Linked DNA regions of Macaca fascicularis. The protein of the gene in region 1 interacts with the protein of each later gene in a biochemical or structural test. Links are inferred from orthologs where the notes say so. Each region holds a gene or a part of one and is shown on either strand. Other genes may lie near its edges.

Region 1 (6,295 bases):
AAGAATTAGAATTTGATAAACTGGAGAGCCATTAAATCTTTAAGGACAGAGTGATATGAAAGTACTATAAAATACTGTTATTCAACAGTATTCGCTATACATTAGAAAGGCAGAAGGAGCAGTCAGTAGTAGGTCAGTAAATACTGAGATGAGATGTTAGGAGTATTAGTAGTAAAAATAGAAAAGCAGAAACAAGTTTAAGAAATAATGCAAAGAAAGAGTCATGCTTGTTTTTTACTCCATTTTAATTATCTATTATCTTTTAATTAACATGCTTATATTACATTAGTTTAAAGCCAATTGACTAGGTGTAGTGGCTCACATCTGTAATTCCAGTACTTTGAGAGGCCAAGGTGGACATATCACTTGAGGTCAGGAGTTAAAGACCAGCCTGGCCAACATGGTGAAACCCTGTCTCTACTAAAAATACAAAAATTAGCCGGGCATGGTGGCGCAAGCCTGTAGACCCAGCTACTCAGGTGGCTAAGACAGGAGAATCACTTGAACCCTGGAGATGGAGGCTGTAGTGAGCCAAAATTAAACCACTGCACTCCAGCCTGGGTGACAGTGAAACTCGTCTCAAAAAATAAAATAAAGCCAATAGAGATGCCTGTTGATAGACAAGTTTTCTTTTTTTTTAACGTGTTTGTTATACCTATAGCCATATTGGAGATCCACATGTAAGCAATTTGAATGAGAAACCCTGGAATAAATTATGTTGCAGGTATTGGGGAAACAAGTTTATCAGGAAAGGATTTGATTACAGAAGTTTAGAATTGTAAAGGACTTAGAAAGTGATTTAGTGGCAGAATTAGGGCTGGAATTTAGGCTTTATAACTTACAGTTCATAATATTTTTATCCCAAAACACACTACTTGTGGTCAGAAGGAAACAGGTTTTGCACAGATACGATTTTACATGTCTGTGCCCTGTCTGTGAAAGACATAGTAAGTCTTTCTGGTGCTTGATGCAGTACTCAAATGTGTGTTTGGGAAGCTAAGCATGAAAGTGATGAGGTGACTTAACACAGGAATTTTTTTCATTTAAAATTCTTACCTTGTGTCATACTTACTGTGTGTATATCTCATCATACCTGCGGCTCACCTCCACTTAGCTACCTTACAGCAGGGGGTGGTCCTGATTTATCTCTTTGTCCTTGCTGTGCCCAGAACAAGACCTAAATAATAGGTGCTCTCCAAGTGCTAAAACAGATCTGTATGTGAAACAGTTGCTACATTCTTACAGATCTGAATAGAACAATTCCAAAGGAGGAAAGGGACGTCTAGAGTTACCTCTATCTGAGCATCCCCGGTGTTCACTCAGTTGGAGGTTGGGTTCTGTGTGGAGAAAAGGAGATTGGTCAGGGAAAGCAAGTCTATTACTAACTACTACATTCTAATTGCCCTGCTCAGTCCAAGGTCCCAGATGCTCTCTTTCTAACATTGAGTTCTAAGTTCCTGGCCCTGTGTCCTTTAATCAAACAGTTCTAATAGAGAATAGGAAATGAGAGATGCCACTAGATTGGGCAGACAGATGTGCCTGATTAGGGACTGCAAGAGCAAAGAGTGGCCAATGAGTGCCTACTAAGTTTTAAACCCTAGCCTAGGAGTTGGGCTTTACAGCAGCGAAGACAACAGACGAAAATCTTCGCCTTCATAGTGTTTAAATTCTGCACGGTGGGGAGCGGAGAATAAACAAGCACGGTAGATAATATGTCAGATAGTGTTCAGTGTTAAGAAGAAAAGGAATGGCCAAGTAAAGTGTTTCAGAGAAGATAACATTTGAATGAAATAATGAAGTGAAGCCGGGCGCAGTGGCTCACGCCTGTAATCCCCAGCACTTTGGGAGGCTGAGGTGGGTGGATCACCTGAGGTCAGTAGTTCGAGACCAGCCTGGCTACCCAGACTGGCCAACAAGGTAAAACCCCGTCTCTACTAAAAATACAAAAATTAGCCTGATGTGGTGGTGCATGCCTGTAATCCCAGCTACACGGGAGGCTGAGGCAGGAGAATCGCTTGAACCCAGGAGGCCAAGGCTGCAGTGAGCCAAGATAGCGCCACTGCATTCCAGCCTAGGCGACAGAGCGAGACTCCGTCTCAACAAAAGAAGTGAGAGAAAGTAGTATGTTATGTACCATAATTGTCATATCAATCATATATGTATAGATTCTGGTTATTTGTAGGCAGTTTGTCTCAATCTAGCCTACTCATAGCTCAGGAAGAAATAATGAAAGAGCTTCGCCAGGTAATTTGGGAAGTTGAAAGGAGTCCGGGCCTCTAAAACCAGGCAGAAAATAACACTATCTTATCCTTAATTCTGTGTTTCACAGGCGAAAGGGGAAAAATACCCAAAACAGAAACTCAAAGCTTCCTGGCCCTTTAAAAATGGCGGTTCCGCACTGGCCAACAATACCATTGGTTGCCCGAGGCAGAAGAGGGCAGGAACGAAGGGGTGGAGGGCGTGGCGGCGCCGAGGGGTCCCGCCTCCTACGGCAAGTCGGAGGTAGCAAGATGGCGGCCGCTGAGGAAGACTGTGGTGTCGGGGCAGAAGCAGACAGGGAATTGGAGGAGCTTCTGGAAAGTAAGAGCCCATAGTGGGAAAGGCCCGAAGAGGGCAGTTGTGAGGACCCATTCCGGGCGTTAAGTGAACCTGAGGTATTAGGGACAGGGCGGGAGAGGATCTCCAAAGGTTAAATGGGGGCGGAGAGTCTGACCGCCAGCCCCCCAAAAAATCTCTGGGTCATCCTGCCCCACCTCCGCGACTGGAGCTGGGGAACTCACCTGGGGTCCCCCAGTGGTCCAGATTGTGGATGTTTCCGCAGGACGGCGTTTCATGATACCTCTCCAAACTCCTCTTTCTTTAGGTTACTAAGTTCTTAAAGTCCGACTTCAGCAGCAGCAGCAGCAGCATTTGGTTCTTGTTGGGTAGCGAACCACGCACTCACTGATTGCTTACATTAACTCCTAGCAAGCTCGTGGCCCATGCTGCTGCGCCTCGTCCTGCCTTCCTTGACATGAAAGACACTTTTCTCCTCGTAGTCCTTTTCTCTTTCTCTCGTTAGGCCCCTTAACAGTTCTTTCATCTTGTTAGTAGCTCAAGCGGACTCCTTTCCCTTATTTTGAGAAACTGAGGATGTGGCGATTTCAGGGGAAAGCAGTTCACCCTCCTGAAAGACGGTGGATGTTTTCTTAGCATTACTGTCCACTCCCCTGTTGGCTTCCTGCCCAGAGTGGGGCCAGTGCTCTCTCCCTGGGCCTGGCAAGCAGAATGGTGGTGAGGACACAGGCTTTTCAGGGCAGAGGTGAATTTGTAATCTCTTGCTCGATCACAGAGATGTGGGCAGGCAGAAGAATGAACAGAAACGCTGAGGAGTGCCAAGTGACTGTAAATTAGCCTACGGTTATCTGCAAAGATCAGACCAAAAGGAGCTCTAGGAGGTTGTGGGAGAGCACTAAACTGGAGAATAAGAGAAGATAGTTTAATGCCTTACCATGGAATGTAGTATGTGGTCCCTCAGTCTGTGCTGGTACCAGTACCAACAAGAAGCTGGGTGGGATGTCATGTGCCTTCTCACCAAGTTATTCCTTTTAGAGCTCCAGAGTGAGTTCAGAGGGATGAGGACATCTGTGTTCTCTACTCCTGTTGGGTATTTATTTGTATGGGATTTCTAGGGAATCATTAGGTTGTGGCAAGGGAGACACTATAGATGGAGATGTCTCTGCAGAAATTTTTAATCCTCTCCTCCCAGCTCTGAGATGGATACTTGTTCCACCGTAAGGGATTTCTTGCCTTTGCTCACAATAAATTAGGTAATCTGGAAGGAAGTAGGAGGCTCATTGAGGGTGGTCTGGGGAGGTGGGGGCCTCAAGGCGGAAAATTGAGGAAAGTTGGCAATTTGAAAAATCATATTCGTAATGCTTTGCCCAGAAACCACCCAGCCTTGCTTGCATCCTCATCTGTCGCCAACACACACACCATGTCTCTTGTCTCTGAAGGTGCTCTTGATGATTTCGATAAAGCCAAACCCTCCCCAGCACCCCCTTCTACCACCACGGCCCCTGATGCTTCGGGGCCCCAGAAGAGATCGCCAGGAGACACTGCCAAAGTATAAATTCCACCCCCTGAAGGGATGGGGAGGGGATGGGCATGCAGCTCTGAGCAGAGGTTGGGCAGGCCCCTATGGGCCAGAGGGGAATGGGGGAGGGTACCTTGGCCTCACATTGGTGAGTGCTCTTGCCAGCCTCAGTCCTTGTGAAATAAGGACTTGAGGTTGAGTGGAGGAATCTCAGAGTTCCTTGAAAAAATAGTAGGTTTAAATGGTTGGATTGGTATGCCATCCCATACCCTCTTTCAAAGACTAGATACCTTTTTTGCTATTCTCATTAGGAGCAGTAGTTAGAGTGTCCAGTGGAAGTGGGTAGGAGGGAAGTGCATTTCCCATAGCTACTGCCTGTGGCTTCTATCAGAGGCCAGGTGCAGTGTAGTTCTAAGTAAGAGATGCATTTCAGCCACCCTTCCCCCGCAGGATGCCCTCTTCGCTTCCCAAGAGAAGTTTTTCCAGGAACTATTCGACAGTGAACTGGCTTCTCAAGCCACTGCAGAGTTCGAGAAGGCAATGAAGGAGTTGGCTGAGGAAGAGCCCCACCTGGTGGAGCAGTTCCAAAAGCTCTCGGAGGCTGCGGGGAGAGTGGGTGAGGAGACCTTAGATACATGGAAATATCTGAACAGATTCTTAAGTCTTTGTTGCCTGAAAACACCAGAATTCTTAGTGAAGTTGATAGTAATCATGATGTCACAGCCATGGAATGGGTAAAGGCAATGAGAGAAGGGGTGGAAATCCCTCTTTTTTTTTTTTTTTTTTTTTTTTTTTGAGACGGAGTCTCGCTGTGTCTCCCAGGCTGGAGTGCAGTGGCGTGATCTCGGCTCACTGCAAGCTCCGCCTCCCGGGTTCACGCCATTCTCCCGCCTCAGCCTCCCAAGTAGCTGAGACTACAGGCGCCCGCCACCACGCCCGGCTAGTTTTTTGTATTTTTAGTAGAGACGGGGTTTCACCATGTTAGCCAGGATGGTCTCGATCTCTTGACCTCGTGATCCACCCGCCTCGGCCTCCCAAAGTGCTGGGATTACAGGCTTGAGCCACCGCGCCCGGCCGAAAATCCCTCTTAATGAAAAGGGGCGAGATAGGTTAGAAAGTAATAGAAAAGATTATTCAAAACTGACCATTTGAAAGGTCACAGTGTTATTGTGGGTATCATCATGGAGAATAAACTGACATAGAGTCCGTGTATTAAATAGATGTATGAAAAGACTATCAGGATAACCGCAGTTTTCCCAGATGGGGAGTGATAATGATTCACTAGTAAATGCTTCATATCCAAGCTGGTAACCAGTTCAGTCTAGGCAAGGAAACAAATTCCTAAATGACGCTGGCTTTTTAAATCTCTCCTAGGCAGTGATATGACCTCCCAACAAGAATTCACTTCTTGCCTAAAGGAGACACTAAGTGGATTAGCCAAAAATGCCACTGACCTTCAGGTGAGGAGAAAGTAGTAGGGTCCCACAAGGGGTCCACTCTCAGACACTTCTGCAGCAGAGTCTCAAAAGACAGATGCTTTGAGTATCATCCCAAGTCTGTTCCTGTCTTGTTTTGTTACAGGCAAGTTTAGGTAGTTTATCTTTCCCACCTGACAGAGTGTGAGCATCCCAAGAAGGTGGTATACCTGCTCACCTCTTACTTGTCCTATCTAGAACTCTGGCATGTCGGATGAAGAGCTGACCAAGGCCATGGAGGGGCTAGGCATGGACGAAGGGGATGGGGAAGGGAACATCCTCCCCATCATGCAGAGTATTATGCAGAACCTACTCTCCAAGGATGTGCTGTACCCATCACTGAAGGAGATCACAGAAAAGGTTTGTGAACTTCCATTTCTGCTTTTTCTCTTCATTTTCCATCACATCCACTCATGTGGGCTATTTTGTCTACTCAGAGCCTGCAGAAAGAGTAACTTGAGTCTGCTTTTTTCCTTTATTTATTTGAGGCGGGGAGAGTTGGGGGGTGGGGAGAGTTGTGTCTCTGAGAGAATAAAGCTGTCACACTGTATGTTGGGGTATAAGGGGTATAACTTTTGGGGTATAAGAGGAAATCCTGCAGTTCTAGTTTTCTATAAACTGGTTCAAGACTCTGGGGTTGTTGTCTAATCAGTCTTGCATTTCTGACTTCATTTCTCCAGCAAGAATTTGGCTGGGCGTGGTGGCTGATGCCTGTAATCCCAGCACGTTGGGAGGCCGAGGCGGG
Region 2 (4,756 bases), on another chromosome or scaffold:
GCATGCAGCACGAACACCCGGTGCTGTGCTCCTGGTTCCCCCCAGGTCCCTGCACAAATGGCCCCTTCTCCCTAGAAGAGCCAGCAGCACCCTGTGTGGCAGCTTAGACATCCCTTCTCTTGCCTTCGTGCTCCTCCCACAGGGACCAGCATGATCCCCTCCCCTAGTCCTATTTGGGCTCAGCCAGTATTTCTGTGCAATGTTGTTGCAGGTTCTGCCCCGCCACCATCATGGGAACCCTAAGAGCATTGGTGTGAGGCTTGGCGGAGGACATGCTGGACGGTGTCTTCTGGTGACCTTCCCCCGCAGAAGGGCTTGGGGGTCAGGCCCACTCCTTTCCCAAACTCACTCTTTCCCCCACAGGCAACCCACTCCCTCTCCTCCATCTCTCCCCGAGACCCGCAGCAGACACCATCAGACTCCGAGGCAGGGAGGAAGGACTGCATTTGCCAATGGAGGCTTTTACTGGGGGGACTGGGGGTGGCGCCCGGCCCGAGGGCTGAGGGCCTGGGAAAGGCACACGGTGGCGGTGGGGTCTCTCGGGCAGGCGCTGGCTCTATAGACAGCTCCCCCTGGTGACCCCTCTTTGGCACTGAGCTGGGAACATGGTGTCCGCACTCCCGGCTGGCAAGCAGAGGCCCGTGTGCCCCGGTGGCGGCTGGCAGTGTAGGCTGGCGGGGTGACGGCCACAGGGGCTGGGTTTGGCACCGGTGGGAGCCAGGGCCCCATGGGACTCAGAGGCTGGGCCACCCCCGCTGCTGGCAGGGTAGTCACATTGGCCATGGAGATGGCTACGAATAGGGAATCCAATAAATTAGGCTGTAGAAAGAAGAGGTGAGGGGCCGAGGGGGCTGCGGCTACATTCTCGCTTGGCAGGCAGTGCTGTGCGTCCCTCTCCCGTGGGCTCTTCAGGGCTCTCGTGGGGGAGAGGATGCAGGTGAGGGGCTCTGTGTGACCATGGGTCCCACTGGGTGGCTTTTATGGCATCCCATGCGACAGAAGCCTTGGCTGGCCACCCTCAGGGGATAGATCATGGGGTCTTTGAGAGACTGACGAGGAGGGAATCATGGGGACTCGAGTCTCCGGAGGGAGGCCACCTGCAGCACCAGGGGCTGTGGCCTGAGTGGCTCCTGGGGCCCGGCTGCGCTGCTGTGGCCAGCACTGGGCCCCCGTGCCCCAGCTTCCTCCGCGGAGCAAAGTAGGAGACTCACTACCCTGGACAGGGCCCAGTCACTGTGGAACAGCCCCCCCAGGGAGTGGGAGGGACAGGGTGGGGGTGATGCAGGGCGTCACCCTCCACATCTACTTTCCCAAGGGCGGGAAGGGTCTTCTAGGAGGGGCCAGGCATGCAGGGGCAGGGCGCATGCGCAGGTGGGTGCTGCTGTCTCCTTCATATGATCTGAGCTTGGGGGCGGGGCAGGGGCCGGGGAAGGCCGAGTCAGGTGGAGGCACCCTGGAGGCCGCCAGGGTCTTGTGGGCTAGGTGCCGGCACCTGTGCTGGGGCCATGGCCTCGCCCAGGATCTGGCAGAGCTCTTGGAGGCGCCGCTGCATCTTGGGAATGCCTGCCAGCTGCTGCTCCAGCCGCTGCTTCTCCTCTGTCAGGCTCAGGCGAGCAGCCGAGTCCAGCTTCTCGAACTTCCAGCCACCCTCCCCGTCGAACTGTAGCAAGTGTGTGTGGTACTTCCTGGCCAGGAGAGGGACAGAGTCAGGGGCACGGCACGAGGGCTGCTGATGAGAGCCGCCTGCTGCTGCTGGGCTCACCAGGCCACGTCCTCCCCTCAGGCTGCCACTCCCACCGGCCCCAGACAGGGAGAGAGGGCACCTACCACAAGGAGGGCCGGTGGGTGATGGAGAGCAGGGCGATGCCCGCGTCCTTGGCTGCCTGGAAGATCTTGCCTTCCACATCGATGCTCACGGCACTGGTGCATTCATCCAGGAGGGCGTACTTGGGCCTGGGGGTCCGGGCCGAGAGGAGAGTCTGTGCACCCTCCAGGGCCCAGTACCTCAGCCCAGCTCAGGCTCCACTGAGCCCAGGCCTCCCCATGGCTGCTACTTCCCCTTCCAGGGGACCCCAGGGAGCCCAGAGTGCTCACCTGTGGTAGAACATGCGGGCCATGCCGATTCTTTGCTTCTCGCCACCCGACAGGACGTCCTTCCAGTCACACATAGCCTCCCAACCTGGGCGGGGGCAAGGGTCTTGGCTCAGTTCCACCAGCACCCAGCCCTGGGGGCCGGCCGGGGAGCTGGGGGAGCTGTGGGAATGAGCTGGCTGTGATGACAGGCATTAATCATGGAGGAGTGGGGACTGGAATCATGCCTTCTCCTAGAAGAGATATGGTGGAGTCCCAGCCCCAGCACTTCAGTGTGACCTTATTTGGAGACAGGGCCTTCATGGAGGTGATCACACTAAGATGAGGTCATCAGAGTAGACTCTAATTCAATATGACTATGTCCTCATAAAAAGGGGGTATGCGGGCAGAGGACGTGCATAGAGGGAACATGAGGTGAAGATATACAGGGAGAAGTGGGCTATCTGCGAGCCAAGGACAGAGGCCTGGAACACATCCTTCTGTCACGACACCCAGAAGGAGTCCACCCTGCTGGCACCTGGATCTCAGGCTGCTGGATGCAGGAGACGACCCACCCCTGCGGTTTATGGCAGCCCCAGGGCACCCACACAATTCCCTGGCACAGAGCCCCAGAGCTGCCACAGTGCTCTCCCCAGACCAGGGGCTTGTCACCACCCACAGGGGTTGGGCCTCCTGTCACTGCCCTGTGCCAGCACTTTGGCAAGGCTCGAGTGGGCTGCTTGAACAAGCAGGTGAGTTGGCTGCTCCACTGGGCCGGGGCACTGTGGCAGAAGTGGCCCCTCCCGTATTCTCGGGCATGCTGTCTTCCCCTGCGGCCCAGGACTGGAAGTGGCGACAGGGTGTATGGCCACCCAGAATAGAGATTACGCTTCCCAGGTGGCCTTGTGGTGAGGTGTGAGCATGAGACTAAGTTGTGGCCAATGAGATGTAACTGTAAGTATTCAATATGGTGGCTTCTGGAACCTTCCTTAAAAGATAGAAGGCACATACCTTTTGCCCCTTCCCTTCTACTTCCTCCATCCTACAGCCTGGGACATGATGTGAGGGCTGCAGCAGCCCCCCTGTATCATGAGGTGACTTTGGAAATGGAGGCCACACACAGCAGAGTGACCTGGTAGAAAAGCCTAGAGCCCTGGGACCTTCACAGAGCAGGGCCAGCCCCGGCAACCGTGGCCTGGCTCTCTTGGGACCTAACAGCTCAGGAGAATAAACTCACAAACGATCTTAGCCAGTACTGCAGGGAGGCCGGTTCTGTTCCTCGCAGCTCAACTCCATCCTAACGGCTCATGCTGGCCGGCCACAGGCCCTAGGCATTCAGGCTGCCACAGAGGCGGGAGGGGCCACTGCTCCCAGGCGGAGGGCAGCAGGAGCAAGAAGCAGGGCCGCGCCAGGGGCTGCTCCACTGCCATCGCCACCTGTGTCCCCGCTTCCTCCACAGGCAGGTGACAACACCCCAGCCATTTCCTGCAGGAGCCACTTCTTCTCATGTTGCCACCAAGGCAGGGCTTGGTGCCTGTGCCCTTGAACCGTGAAGGGGAGCCCCAGCAAGGCGAGGCCCTTGCCCAGGGCAATCTTGCACCCAGCACTGGGGGCTGGAAGCTGAACCCAGAGGATCAGAATTCAAAGAGAGAACTAAACACTCCTACCATGTCCCTGCAGCTGCACCCCCCTCTCCTCCTCTGCTCTCCCAGCACGATGGACACTGTGAACAAGCAGCATTCCTTGATAAGCCCAGGACAAGACAACAGCTTAGTCTGGCCTCCTTTTCCGTGAACTCATCTCAGAATCCGCCCGACTCTGCTGGCCCCAGCCCCCTCCAAGCGTCTGCACAAACCTCCGGACAGTAGCCATCACTGCACACATGTGCCTGCCCCTGCCCACCGCCCCATGGTCCTTCCAAGAGCGTCTGATCCTGCTCAGGGAAAGCCTAGGCTCCCGTCTGGTCCGGAGGGGACTCTGTGAGCTAGCCTCTCGCGCCACCAAGCCTGTGGGCCACACTCCGCCCTGCTGTCCCTGGCTCCCCGACAGGGTAACCGCTCAGCATTCTGCAGGGCTCAGCTCAGACCTCTTTTCTCTGGGAGAGGGTATCCTGGGTCCCCCAATGAGGTGCACATCCCTGTTAGGTGCCCCCTTCTCTAGAGCACCCATGCCACCTGGGGCCATCTGTGTCGTGCTGGTCCTCCCTGGTAGGCAGGCCTTAGAGGCAGCATCCTCTGTCCCGCCCCTGTGGCACCTGGCACTTTAGACTCCTGGATGTTGAGATAATCTTCACTCCCTGGAGGCCAAGGGAGAGGCCACAGTGAGACAAAAGGCGGCTGCCAGCCCCAGGCCTCCTACCTCCCTCCCGCTGCAGGATGTGGTGCAGATGCACGATGTCCAGGATGGCTTCCAGGTCCTGCTCTGAGTAGCCCTTCCTTCGCATGTCCGCCACTGAGTCCGGGTAGATCACCTGGTCACGCAGGGAGCCCACAGACATATAGGGCCTGTGGGAAAGCTGGGTGTCCATAGAGGGAAGGGCTGGCCCTGCCTCTCCCAAGATACTCTGCGCCTCCCAGGCAGTGTCCACATGCCACGCTCACACGCACCCACACGCTCACGTCGCCGCCCGGGCACACACCCCACACAGATCCAAAACAGGGCAGTGGATTGGGTGGGTGTGGAGGGA
Region 3 (5,734 bases), on another chromosome or scaffold:
ACATAGGTAAACACATTTCACAGGGGTTTGTTGTACATATTATTTCATCATCCAGGTATTAAACCCAGTACCCAGTGCTTTTCTTTTCTGCTCCTCTCCCTCCTCCCACCCTCCAACCTTCAAGTAGACCTGAGTCTCCGTTGTTTCCTTCTTTGTGCTTGTAAGATCTTATCACTTAGCTCCTACTTGTAAGTGAGAACATGCAGTATATGGTTTTCTGTTCCTGCATTAGTTTGCTAAAGGTGATTGCCTCCAGCTCCATTCATGTTTCCACAAAATATGTGAGCTCATTCTTTTTTTATAGCTGCATAATATTCCATGGTGTACCTGTACCACACTTTCTTTAATCTATCGTTGATGGGCATTTACGTTGATTCCATGTTTTTGCTATTGTGAATGGTGCTGTGATGAACATTTGTGTGCATGTGTCTTTGTGGTAGATGATTTATATTCCTCTGAGTATAAACCCAGTAATGAGATTATTGGGTGAAATGGTAGTTCTGTTTTTAGCTCTTTGAGGAATTGCCGCACTGTGGTTGAACTGATTTACACTCCCACCAACAGTGTATAAGTGTTCCCTTTTTCCTACGACCTTGTTGACATCTGCTATTTTTTGATGTTTTAATAATAGTCATTTTGACTGGTGTGAGATGGTATTTCATTGTGGTTTTGATGTGCATTCTCTAATGATCAATGATATTGAGCTTTCTTCATATGCTTGTTGGCTGCATATATGTCTTCTTTTGAAAAGTGTCTGTTCATGTCCTTTTCCCACTTTGTAATGGTGTTGTTTTTCTCTTGTAAATTTGTTTAAGCTCCTTATAGATGCTGGATATTAGACCTTTTTCAGATGCATAGTTTGCAAATATTTTCTCCCATTGTGTAGGCTGTCTGTGTACTCTGTTGATAGTTTCTTTTGCTGTGCAGAAGCTCTTAAGTTTAATTAGATCTCACTTGTCAATTTTTGCTTTCATTGTGATTGCTTTTGGTATCTTTGTCATGAAGTCTTTGTCTGTTTCCATGTCCAGGATAGTATTGCCTAGGTTGTCTTCCAGGGTTTTTATGGTTTGGGGTTTTACATTTAAGTCTCTAATCCATCTTGTGTTGATTTTTGTATATGGTATAAAGAAGGGGTCCAGCTTCAGTCTTCTGCATATGGCTAGCCAGTTATCCCAGCACCATTCATTGAATAGAGAGTCTTTTCCCCTATTGCTTATTTTTTCAGCTTTGTTGAAGATTAGATGGTTGTAGATGTACGGCCTTATTTCTGCAGTCTCCATTCTGTTTCCCTGGTCTCTGTGTCTGTTTTTGTATCAGTACTATACTGTTTTGGTTACTGCAGACCTGTAGTATAGTTTGAAGTGGGGCAGTATGATGCCTCCAGCTTTGTTCCTTTTGCTTAGGATTACCTTGGCTATTCAGGTTCTTTCTTGGTTCCATATAAATTTTGAAATAGTTTTTTTCTAGCTCTGTGAAGAATGTCATTGGTAGTTTGTAGGACTAGCATTAAATATGTAAATTGCTTTGGGCAGCATAGCCATTTTAATGATATTGATTCTTCCTATCCATGAACATGGGATGCTTTTCCATTTGTGTCTTCTCTGATTTCTTTGAGCAGTGTCTTGTAATTCTCATTGTAGAGATCTTTCACCTTCCTGGTTAGCTATATTCCTAGGTATTTCATTCTTTTTGTGGCAATTGTGAAGGAGATTGTCTTCCTGATTTGGCTCTTGGCTTGGCTGTTGTTGGTGTATAGAAATTTAGTAATCTTTGTATGTTGATTTTGTATATTGCAACTTTGCTGAAGTTGTTTATCAGCTGAAGGAGATTTTGAGCTGAGACTATGGGGCTTTTTAGATATAGAATCATGTGTCTGCAAGCAGGGATAGTTTGACTTCCTCTCTTCCTATATGAATGCCCTTTATTTCTTTCTCTTGCCTGACTGCTCTAGCTAAAGTGAGATTATTATTATTAAATTATTTGAAAGTATCACTAAACACAGAGAGTATTATTAGACAATAATTCTATTTTAAGCTTATATGTACAAATGTTATTTATACTCTTTCAAAAATGTTTTATGCTGAAAAAACACAATACAGAAGTTTCTGACTTTAATTATCTGTGTGCTGCTTGAGAGCAAAAAAAAGATACTGGTAAGATTGTGGGTCTGAAACCAAAAAAAGTAAGTTCTGTGGTATCTACTTCTCAAATTATTTAATTTAATGTAAGCTGAGGGCTTGTAAGGCTAATATTTCTGTCACAGACTTTAAATACATCTAGACTGACAATGGCCTCAGGGACTTTGTACATTCAAATATAGAAGAAAAAAGCTTTTTTTAAATGTTAGCTGCACTGACATGGAGACTTGATAAAAACTTAATGTGGCCGGGCGCGGTGGCTCAAGCCTGTAATCCCAGCACTTTGGGAGGCCGAGACGGGCGGATCACGAGGTCAGGAGATCGAGACCATCCTGGCTAACACAATGAAACCCCGTCTCTACTAAAAAATACAAAAAAATTAGCCGGGCGTGGTGGCGGCGCCTGTAGTCCCAGCTACTCGGGAGGCTGAGGCAGGAGAATGGCGGGAACCCGGGAGGCGGAGCTTGCAGTGAGCCGAGATCGCGCCACTGCACTCCAGCCTGGGCGACAGAGCGAGACTCGGCCTCAAAAAAAAAAAAAAAAAAAAACACCTTAATGTGTTGTTTTAAACATAACACAAGCAGAAAAAGAAATACAAATAATGGAACAGCAATAAAACTCCATCTTTACACTTATGTGCTTATTTCCGATTATAGCATACATTCAAATTAAACCACACACTAAATATATACCCAAGGTTACTTTTTAAACGTGAAGTTAAATGCATTAAAAAAGAATGATGGACTTTACCTCCTTCTCTTTGAACTATGTGATAGAGATGGACATTGTGTAGGATACGTTCCAGATCTTGGTCTGTACAACCTTTATCATGCATATCATCCACTGAATCAGGGTAAATGACTTGATCTCGAAGACTTCCAAGAGACATATATGGCCTGTAAAACGCCAAGCACACAAGAATCCTAGTGGAAAGTCATGATAACTTACTCAGTGTGACATCTTGGTAGTCTGAAAACATCAGTGAAGACTTTAAACACTACATTTCCAGGATGATATTTGTTAACCTGGTGATGAGTACTTCTCCCTCAGGCACTGCTAAACGATACCATTATGTTTACATAAAAACTTACTGGCACATGGACACAAGAAAAGCTTCTCTAAGAAATCATCTGACATTTCTTTTTTCTAAAAAATTTTATTTTATTTTATATTTTGTAGAGACAGGGTCTTGATATGTTTCCCCAAGCTAGTCTCAAACACCTGCCTCAAGTGGTTCCTCCTAACTTGGCCTCGCAAAGCACTGGGATTACAGTTGTAAGCCACAGAACCCAGCCACATTTAACATTTTCAGCAGAAAAATACTGTATATACTTTGTTTCACTGCATTTGATAAATATTGCTTCTGTAATTCATCTATAATTATTTGGGTTACATATTATGCAATTTGGGTTTTGACCCAGCAATGTGAACAAACAAAACAAAAAAATGTAATTCATAGTAAGAAAAACACAAATTAAAACTACATTGAGTTTCTTGCTTTTCAGATTGGCAAAAATTCGACAACTTGATAACTCACTCCACTGGCAGGCCTGTGGGTAAAGGAGTGTTCTCATACTACAGTGAAAATGCAGAATCATACAACTCTTACAGAGGGGATTTGGCAAACTGACAGAGCATTTGCCCTTTGACCCACTTCTTGGAATTTACTCTGAAAATATACTTCTAAAAATACAAAAAAAGATGCATGCAGTTATTCATTACAACTTATTTGTAATAGCAAAATATTGAAATGCAACATAAATACCCATACAAAGAAGACTGACGGAATAAACTATAGTACATCCACTATGCAGCTATAAAAAAAAGGATGAGGAAAACCTCTATAAACTGATATGAAGTGATTTCTATGATATATTGTTAAGTTGAAAAGCAAAATGCAAAAGTAGACTTATAGCAGGGTTTCTCAACAACGGCACTTTGGCTTATTGAACCAGATAATTGTTTGTTGTCGAGGGCTACCCTATGTATAGTAGGATGTTTAGCATTATACCTGATGTCTACCCACTAGATGTCAGTAGCACCCCTTCCTGTAGTGAACAAAAATAATTGTCTCCAGATACTGCCAAATATCTCTGGGGGACAAAATCTTCCCAGTTGAGAACCACTTCTATGTAAAAAGAAAGCAAAATGAAGTATAGACATACCCATTTATATTTAAAAAAGGAAACACAGGAAGAGTAAACCTGAAACTAGTGAAGTTGGTTAGCTACAGGAGGTGGGAGGAACAAGGTGGAATGGACAGGCAGGAAAAGGCCTAAGTATCCTTTCTATTAATAAAGTTTTTACTTTTGGAATCCCTCAAAGTGTTACTATTCAATAAACAAACAAAATTAAACCAACAAGAATGAAGGAAGAAACCTTAAAATTGAATACAAACAGAAACAATTTAACTGAACAGTATATCCAAAGGATAAAGTAACCACACAGCGAGGGGGATGGAGGTGGGGATGAATTAATCCATGTGACTTTTGAACTTGGCTACATAATTTCAGTCAAAGACAGAAAGAATCACGTGGAAATCTTGAAGCTTACTTGCAAATTTATTTTTGGTAATGATATAGGGGTAGCAATTCTGAAACCATTTTATGTGTATTGTAGGATTGGTTAAGTAAATAAATGGTTTGGTAATGTTAGGAGCAAGGGTTCTCACTGTGGAAGAAGAAAGACACAAACATACTATGTGGGAAGGCAAGAGAAAAACTCTACTATTTAATTTGAATTTGAGTATCAGTATGAATTTATGATTTTTAATAAAAAAATTCTAGTCCTATCTACATCTGAAACATTCTAATATTATCCTTTGTGAAGCACACATCATTTCAGCAATGCAATAAATTCAATTGTGGACCCAAAAAGATCCATCTTAATCCAGACCCCCCCCCCACATATCTGTAAATGAAACCTTATTTAGAAACAGAGTCTTTGCAGATTTAATTAAAGTTCTTGAGACAAGATCATCCTGGATTAACCAGATGAGCCCTAAATCCAATAAATGCCCTTATCAAATGAGAAGAAACCCAGGAAAGAAAAGAAAGCCACATGGAGACAGAGATGGAAGTTATGGTGCCACAAACCAAGGAATGCTTGGCACCACCAGAAACTGGAAAAGAGGCAGGAAATAATTCTTTCCAAGAGCCTTCAGAGGGTGTCGATTGCCAATACTTTGACTTCTGGTATTCAGGAATGTGAGAAAATAAATTTCTGTTGTTGAAACCGGCAAGTGTTCGGTAATTTGTAGCCCTTAGAAACTAATACAAGTAGTATTTCTGTAAAAAGTTCATAACCTGAATCACATCATGCAGAAACTATCAGACAAACCTAAATTGAGGTATTCTCTTAAAAAAAAAAAAAAGCAGTAGTCTTGCACTCTTTCAAAATATCAATGTCATAAAAAATAAAGAAATGCTGAGAAACTCTTCTGAATAAAGCAAACTGTAATAAATAGACATGGCAACTACATGCAGTGCAAGACAATGCATCGGGAAAAACAAGTTGCTCTAAAGTACAGTGTTATGACAATTGCCAAAATTTGAATATGGACTGTACTTTAGATATTAATATTATATCAATGTCAA

Evidence for each region. The genes of interacting proteins can lie anywhere in the genome.
Region 2: the proteins of PEX19 (region 1) and ABCD1 form a complex in vitro, tested with the Homo sapiens proteins (3 studies listed by BioGRID and IntAct, with this or other methods). The link is inferred for Macaca fascicularis from reciprocal best matches to the Homo sapiens genes PEX19 and ABCD1.
Region 3: the proteins of PEX19 (region 1) and ABCD2 form a complex in vitro, tested with the Homo sapiens proteins (3 studies listed by BioGRID and IntAct, with this or other methods). The link is inferred for Macaca fascicularis from reciprocal best matches to the Homo sapiens genes PEX19 and ABCD2.

What each region holds. Positions count from the first base shown.
Region 1 is NC_088375.1:100,772,969-100,779,263, forward strand, and holds the start of PEX19 (peroxisomal biogenesis factor 19), read left to right. Parts: upstream 1-2,498; 5' UTR 2,499-2,510; coding exon 2,511-2,580; intron 2,581-3,995; coding exon 3,996-4,105; intron 4,106-4,525; coding exon 4,526-4,691; intron 4,692-5,449; coding exon 5,450-5,535; intron 5,536-5,748; coding exon 5,749-5,910; intron 5,911-6,230; coding exon 6,231-6,295. UniProt on the Homo sapiens protein: Necessary for early peroxisomal biogenesis. Acts both as a cytosolic chaperone and as an import receptor for peroxisomal membrane proteins (PMPs).
Region 2 is NC_088395.1:159,799,322-159,804,077, reverse strand, and holds part of ABCD1 (ATP-binding cassette sub-family D member 1), read right to left. Parts: intron 4,575-4,756; coding exon 4,429-4,574; intron 2,180-4,428; coding exon 2,095-2,179; intron 1,954-2,094; coding exon 1,828-1,953; intron 1,686-1,827; coding exon 1,493-1,685; coding exon of another isoform or gene 1,439-1,492; exon of another isoform or gene 792-1,438; coding exon of another isoform or gene 771-791; exon of another isoform or gene 442-770; intron 1-441. UniProt on the Homo sapiens protein: ATP-dependent transporter of the ATP-binding cassette (ABC) family involved in the transport of very long chain fatty acid (VLCFA)-CoA from the cytosol to the peroxisome lumen.
Region 3 is NC_088385.1:46,046,615-46,052,348, forward strand, and holds part of ABCD2 (ATP-binding cassette sub-family D member 2), read right to left. Parts: intron 3,035-5,734; coding exon 2,889-3,034; intron 1-2,888.